Ovis aries: one gene and its partner. The protein of the gene in region 2 purifies or fractionates together with the protein of the main gene of each other region. This does not show direct contact. Links are inferred from orthologs where the notes say so. Each region holds a gene or a part of one and is shown on either strand. Other genes may lie near its edges.

Region 1 (3,462 bases), on a different chromosome or scaffold from region 2:
CCCTGGTGACGAGGCCTGGGCCTGGACTGGCCTGTGTGGATGAGCAGAGATCCTGCCATGCGTGCAGCGGGCATGCAAAACACAGGGGCTGCCCGTGAAAGGACATCTTGGAGAATCTAAGCAACAGACAGGGACGCCCTTTGTTGGGTTTTCACACTGTAAACTCAGTTCTTTTGTACACAAGCACTGGGATGGAGGTGGGCAGAATAATGTCCACCAACCCAGGCTGACCTGATCCCTGGAAGGTGATCTCGTGAGGTCAAAAGGATGGAGTTAAGGATCTTGAGATAGAATGGTTGTCCTGGACTCTCCAGGTTAAGTCCAGGGTCATCACAAGGCCCCACGAGGAAACAGGCAGACGAGAATCAGAGCAGAGGCAGAGGTCAGCGCTGCCCTCCCTTCAGGTCAGGGCCAAGCAGACTCTCCCAGAGGCCATAAGCCATGGGCCACCTGACTGCCCTTGGCCACATCAACCTACAGGGAAAACCAAGCTTACTCTGTGGACAGAAAACCTCTGACGAAGGTGAAAACAGCAGAAAACACAAAAACTGCCAAAAGAGAAAATGTGTAAAAGTTTCATATTTTTGTAGTTTTTTTAAAAGATATGAAATAATACCAGTATAAAAAAATATTACATACCAAACAATACAGTGTTTGTATAAAACTCAGTAAAAAAAAGCATAATTTTATCATTTAAAATAATTCATAAAATACATTTTGCTGAGAGCAAACCCTAACGTCATAGACACTGACGACGCCCGTGTGCCACAGAGAGAAACTGGCCTGGGTTCACTGGGGCGCTCGCATCTGCCACGGGACTGCTATGCAGTCGGTACTGGCAGCAGCCTGACGGGACGGGACAGGACCATCATGTACGGTCAGGGCGCGGGGACCCCGCGATCCTTGGCTGAGTTCACGGAGCAGAGTCCTGGGACAGGAGCAGCCCCTGAGAATGGCGGGACAGCCCCTTCCTCTACTGGTAGATGACCTTCACGCAAAAGGTCTCCTCGTTTTTGTCTTCATGGTCGTTGATGTAAATCAGGATCTCCTCCTCCCCAGCTCTCTGACTGGACGCAAACCGCAGGCCGATGGTATAGGTCTCGCCTCCCCCGACCTGGAAAGAAATGTTGCCATACTCGTGTCCACCCAGCCAGCTCCACAGGCAAACACACACACACACCCCAGGCTAGCAGCTTCCACCCAGGCAAACACACACACACACACACACCCCACCCCACCCCCAGGCTGGCAGGCTTCAGAAAACACATGTACGTTTGGAACCCAATCTCCCATGTTACTGTCAAGCCCTCTCCCCCACAGCCGCTCTTCCCAAGTCCCTGAGAGACACGTCACTAAGCCCCCTCCCCTGACTGACAGACTCTGATCCACTCTGAGCCGCTGCTCACTTTCCCTAAAATAGCCACAGTAGATCAAGGCCTCACTTGCCAGAGAATCTGGATGAAACTGCTGTGAAACTGCCGGGGAGGTGGGGGCCTAGGTGTGGGGTCAGAGGCCCAGGCAGTGTTCAGCGGGGGTGCCCCTGGGGACTGCAGGCATCTCACTGGAGCACAGACGGTTTTCCCCAGGACCTCCTGGAGCCCCCCAACCCTGCAGGGTCCCTCCCCTGAGCAGCCCGCACCTGGAAGGCATCCTCCTTGAACTGCAGCAGGTGGGGGTGGTCACTGTGCAGGCGGTAGGCCCTCCGCGAGGGGTAGGGGTTGGTGTAGGTGATGCGCTTGTTGGCGCCCCTCCCGCCCCCCGCGGGCAGCTTGATCTCAAAGGCCTGCGGGGAGGGCAGGAGTTGGCACCTGGCTGCTTCTCCGGCAGCTTCCCAAGCCTGCCCTGCGCTCGGGGCCCTAGACGCTGGATGGCTCCATAAATACAGCAGACAAGCCCCCCGAGGTCCTGGCCTAGGAGAACACAGTTCAGAAACCAACACCCCCCAGACCCCCAGCCACTGAGCAGGCCGGGTTAGGGGACCAGGTGACAATCAGGGGACATCCCACCCAGCCACGTGGCCCCGCATCCCACATCAGACCTTGGAGATGAGAGGCGGCCGGCAGGAGAGACACAGGAGCCATGAGGCCACTAGCTGGTGAGCGTCCACGTCGACCAGGTGGAGGTGCGTGAAGCGGCTGCCCGGCCTGCAGGCCCTGACGCTCACATGCAAGTCCTGAACCCCATGAGGGGGCAGCACAAACACACCTCTGGGGTCCGTCTTCCAGGGGACAGAGAAGGGGGTCAGGAGGTGAGGGCTTCATCCCAGGGAGCCCAACGGTTCAGGGGTGACCACCTGTGCTGGGCGGGAAGCCCTCCAGTCTGCATGAAGTCAACCTTGCCACTGGCACCAGTACCAGCGGGGCACAGTCCATGTCCCCATCTTTGGGGTTGAGTCCCCTCCCCCACAGCAGGAACCCCTAAGTGCTGGAGCAGCCTCGGCAGAGAAGAGCTGAACCAGCCCAGCCTCGGGCAAGGCATCCACATCATCCCATCACCGAGATGTACAATCACGGCCACACTGACTCCAGAGTCACAGTTAATTCTTCCCATGATATACAATATATACTCCCATAAATATCGTAGTATATACTCCCAGAAATTCTACAAGTTGCTGGTGGGGTCTGTAAATAAGTCAGTCATCCCACGAAGGCACATCTGGCAAAGGCAATGTGAACTAAGGCTCTGTTGATCTTCAGGAATCCCCTGAGCTGCAGCACCATTCCCACCCCCTCCCTGGGTGGGCAAGGAAGGGAGGGCGCAGGGGACCTCCTTGAGACCCAATAGCCCCCACCCAAAGGCCATACCGTCAGCTCCTGGGGGTGTGAGCTGAAAGCCTGCACCCTCCTCACTGTCTGCGTCCCCCGGAGGACGAGAGCCAGGCGGGTCCTCTGGCCAGCGATACAGGAGACATCCACTCGCTGCAGCGAGTGCAGGTGGACCTGCCAGGTCTGGATAGGTGCTGCCAACCAGCGGTCTCTGTGGGCAGAAGCCATTCACGGTCCGCGAGGACACTACACTGACTGTGGGAGGGGAGCCCCAGGAGGCTGAGAAGGCGGCCAAGAGGGCAGGCGGGGCCCAGGGGCCGTCACCCCCAGGGGCCCCTTCCCTCCGAGGCCGAGGCGCTCAGGCAGGGCTGTGGCCTCTACGTGGCCTTGACCCTGAACAGAGACCTCAAATGTGTGGCAACGTGGGCTTCAGCACACTTGCACCTGGGTCAGCAGAACCCCAAACCAGGCCTAGTGCAAACCCCATGGACAGCACGGCACGGACCAGGATGTGGACTCGGAGGTCACATGGGCCTGAGCCCGGGCTCTGCAACAGCCGCCTGGTGCCAGGGACACTGACTCTTGGTGGTAAACGGGCCTCAGGGACGCCTGCCCACAAGCCATCACGAGGACAACATTCTTTAGCCACCACATGGCACCTGCAAACCAGGCACTGACCCTCGGCTGGGGTGGGCAC
Region 2 (4,075 bases):
CCAAATCCCTATCAACCTATAGAAAATTACTATTACTCCAGAAAGTTCCTAGAATGTACTCTTTCGTGTAATCATTTCTGAGATACTTCCATATCGGAAGGATACTTCCATATACACTGCTGTCTGTATCGTTGGTTTATTCTTTCTTACTGCTGACTAATACTCCCTGTATGAATAAACCACAAGTTTTTTTCTTTCTTATCCTCATTCTTATATCTTATACTGTGACTTAGCAATTTCCAAATACTACCTGTAACTTTGCCAACATACCCACAAAAGAGGCACATATATCTTTCGGGTTCTGTAGATGTGGAAAAGATAAAGTGATTGAAAAAAAGAAATAAAAATTCTCTACTCTTGCCATTGTGCGTCTGTTATTCACAACGTCACACACGTGGTGACAGTCAGTCATCACGGGCATAACCCAGATGGGTCCTTCATAACTTGTCCCATGGACAGCAGGGTGGAAGTCTGTGCCACGTTTTGCTTCACGTGTCCTCTGCGGAGGCCTCCCTGGTGGCTCAGACAGTGAAGAATCTGCCTGCCAATGTAGGAGACGTGGGTTCGATCCCTGGGTTGGGAAGATCCTCTGGAGAAGGAAATGGCAAAACACTCTAGTATTCTTGCCTGGAGAATTCCATGGACAGAGGAGCCTGGAGGGCTACAGTCGTTGGGATCCTGAAAAGTCGGACACGCCTGAACATGAGCAGAAGTACATTAATATGGGGTCAGGGAAGAAGGACCCCCCAATATCACACAGCCCTTCCCAGACACACAGGGTACCAAAAGGCTCAAGAGCCAACTGGGTTCCAGCTTGAACAACCCTGGTGACTGTTTCATTTCATCTTTATATCAGTAACAATTGTTGTGGCTTACTTCTACGACTTTTCCTGGTTCTGTCAATGTCCAACTAAATTTAAAATTCAATGCAATATAAAGCATCTGGCCAAAGCTCAGCTTAAGTTAGTGTCTCATTAACTTTTATTTTTATTCCTACCAGAAGAGTATTCTATTCTGTTGTACCACTATAATTCCAATAGAGTTCCTTAAGAAATATTTATCTACCCAATCTTTTGTACTTTTTAAATGAAAGTCCAAAACTGGATAAAATATGAGCATTCAGTACATCTTCTGTCTGCTAAAGATTATAAAAATAATTTTATTTAGTGGAAATAATACTTGGTAATATTAACAGATCAGTTTAGTTCCGTCACTCAGTCATGTCTGACTCTTTGCGACCCCATGAACTGCAGCATGCCAGGCCTCCCTGTCCATCACCAGCTCCCAGAGTCCACCCAAGCCCATGTCCATTGAGTCGATGATGCCATCCAGCCATCTCATCCTCTGTCATCCTCTTCTCCTCCTGCCCTCAATCCTTCCCAGCATCAGGGTCTTTTCAAATGAGTCAGCTCTTCAAATCAGGTGGCCAAAGTACTGGATTTAAGCTTCAACATCAGTCCTTCCAATGAACACCCAGGACTGATCTCCTTTAGGATGGACTGGTTGGATCTCCTTGCAGTCCAAGGGACTCTTAAGAGTCTTCCCCAACACCACAGTTCATAAGCATCAATTCTTCAGCCCTCAGCTTTCTTTATAGTCCAACTCTCACATCCATACATGACTACTGGAAAACCATAGCCTTGATTAGATGGACCTTTGTTGGCAAAGTAATGTCTTTGCTTTTTAATATGCTGTCTAGGTTGGTCATAATTTTCCTTCCAAGGAGTAAGCATCTTTTAATTTCATGGCTTGCAGTCACCATCTGCAGTGATTTTGGAGCCCAGAAAAATAAAGTCAGCCACTGTTTCCACTGTTGCCCCGTCTATTTCCCATGAAGTGATGGGACCAGATGCCATGATCTTCGTTTTCTGAATGTTGAGCTTTAAGTCTACTTTTTCACTCTCCTCTTTCACTTTCATCAAGAAGCTCTTTAGTTTTTCTTCACTTTCTGCCATAAGGGTGGTGTCATCTGAGGTTATTGATATTTCTCCCAGCAATCTTAATTCCAGCTTGTGCTTCCTCCTGGAAATGCAATTACACAGTCTAGGAGCATAAATATCTTCTACATCTTGTCAAGGTGCTTTCCAGAAATGCTGTGCCTTATACCCTGGGGCAGTAAAAGTGCCTGTTTCATCACAGCCTCCCCATCAAGAGCATCAAGATTTTTAAAGTGTTTGTGGTATCTTATATTCTTTGCAATTGCTTATCTTCGAAGTCAACTTTTCTCATGTTTATGTGACTAGTATTTCTTCTTTAGCTCATGTCCTTTGCTCACTTGGCAGGTCTTAACATTTTTCTTATATATTATTCCTTGATGCATATTTGGCTTGGCTTTATGGGAAGCAAAAACACTCAAGAGCCTCCACTGGATGGGAGAGAAAGGAAAGGAAGCATGCAGAATGGAGGAAAGTGATGTTGAGTGCAGAGATGGTTGGGATGTTATTATTCGTTTAGATTTGGAGGTGAGATGGGATAGAAGAGGTGTTAGGTTGCAGATGGAGCTGTTAGGTGGGGTGGAGGGAGAGGAGGACAGCACTTAGTCGAGGATCCCATGTTCTAGCCTCCCCGGGGTTGGGTTGGGAGCGTGAGGGGTTAGAATCAGGGTTTGGTCCCGGTACGTTGCGGGTGGGGGAGGTTACAACTTGGAAAGGGTGGGTTGGGGTTGACTCTCAGAGTTAGGGTGCGCCCCGGAGCTCGCCCGCCGCCAGAGCCCAGGTCTCTCACCAGACGGTACCTGCTGCTTCAGCTCCTGACTGCGGCGCTGCAAGGACTGGAGTGGGTCGCGCTGCCGCCTCGCCAGCATCTCCGTCACCTAGGCGCGGAGAGCACAGCGGTCGCCAGGGAAACCATGGCGGCTGCACCGGGACGTGACGCCATCACTACGCGTCCGCCTCAGCGCCCTGCAGCCCGCCGGGAAGCTGATTCTGCAAGTGTGGGGTTGGTCCTCTCCTGAGGAAGCGGCTCCTTCAATCCGCAGGGCCGGAGCTCGCTTTTCAGGTCCACTGCCCAGCAAGTCACTTTTTCCTGGCCAGTCCCAAAGGATCGGGGTGGAGGTGGGGGAGAATATGCCGCTGCGTCCGAAACTACAAGTCCCATAATACTCAGTATTACCACGTTCCTGCAGGGTTACTGGGAGTCCGCAGTGGCTCAGCGGTAAAGAACCCGCCGGCAATGCAGAAGCCAGCAGGGTGGGGAAGATCTCCTGGACGAGGGTGTGGCAACCCACTCCAATATTCTTTACTAGAGAATCCCATGGACAGAGGAGCCTGGCGGGCTACAGTTCATAGGGTCGGAAAGAGTCGGACACGACTGAAGCGACTGAGCCTGCACGTACCAGTTTTGCTAAACTAATCTTGTGTTAGTCGCTCAGTCAGCCATGGCGGACTCTTGCGATCCCATGGCTCCTCTGTCCATGGAATTCTCTAGGCAAGAATACTGGAGTGAGTTGCCATTCCCTTCTCCAGATCTTCCCCACCCAAGGATCAAACCCAGGTCTCCTGCATTGCAGGTGGACTCTTTGCCGTCTGAACCACCAAGGTCCTTGAAGCTTCTTAATGTCTTAAATGTACAGATCGTTTTCTTACATGGCTTATACAGGATACGTGGTTCTGCTGCATACTCTGACTTCACAAAGGCAGTATTTAATTCTTTTCTATTTGGGATATTGCTGGAGTATCACTTAACTGTAGTTTTTGCATCCTCAATTCTATGGTCTAGGGATGGTCATTCTGTTCTACAGGAAGTCTATACACCATGATTATGTGCTGCATTTTACATCTCTCATGGAGGCTGTAATCACATTTCCTCAAGTGGGACTCATTCCTATAAAATCCAATTCCCAAACTCTCCCCACTACACGGAAGCTCACTTTTTAAAAGATGAACCACATTGATACCCATTTACAAGTTAATCCCACAGGCCAAGAGCCATGCTATTTGTGTTCTTTCTTCAACAGAAAAGGGACAAGAACCCCCTCACTTAATTTTCACTTTGAACACAGCTCCATGTAACATCAACCAGATTTGGATCCTGATAGTATCCAACATCCTAGCAGTCTTCCCTTTCTTCTAGTCCT

What was found.
Region 1: the proteins of NPHP1 (region 2) and NPHP4 purify together in Homo sapiens (co-immunoprecipitation; 6 studies listed by BioGRID and IntAct, with this or other methods). This does not show direct contact. The link is inferred for Ovis aries from reciprocal best matches to the Homo sapiens genes NPHP1 and NPHP4.

The regions. Positions count from the first base shown.
Region 1 is NC_056065.1:46,809,391-46,812,852, reverse strand, and holds the end of NPHP4 (nephrocystin-4), read right to left. Parts: intron 2,977-3,462; coding exon 2,805-2,976; intron 2,219-2,804; coding exon 2,039-2,218; intron 1,784-2,038; coding exon 1,640-1,783; intron 1,115-1,639; coding exon 974-1,114; 3' UTR 560-973; downstream 1-559. UniProt on the Homo sapiens protein: Involved in the organization of apical junctions; the function is proposed to implicate a NPHP1-4-8 module. Does not seem to be strictly required for ciliogenesis. Required for building functional cilia.
Region 2 is NC_056056.1:104,781,420-104,785,494, forward strand, and holds the start of NPHP1 (nephrocystin-1), read right to left. Parts: upstream 2,819-4,075; 5' UTR 2,804-2,818; coding exon 2,735-2,803; exon of another isoform or gene 1-2,734. UniProt on the Homo sapiens protein: Together with BCAR1 it may play a role in the control of epithelial cell polarity. Involved in the organization of apical junctions in kidney cells together with NPHP4 and RPGRIP1L/NPHP8. Does not seem to be strictly required for ciliogenesis.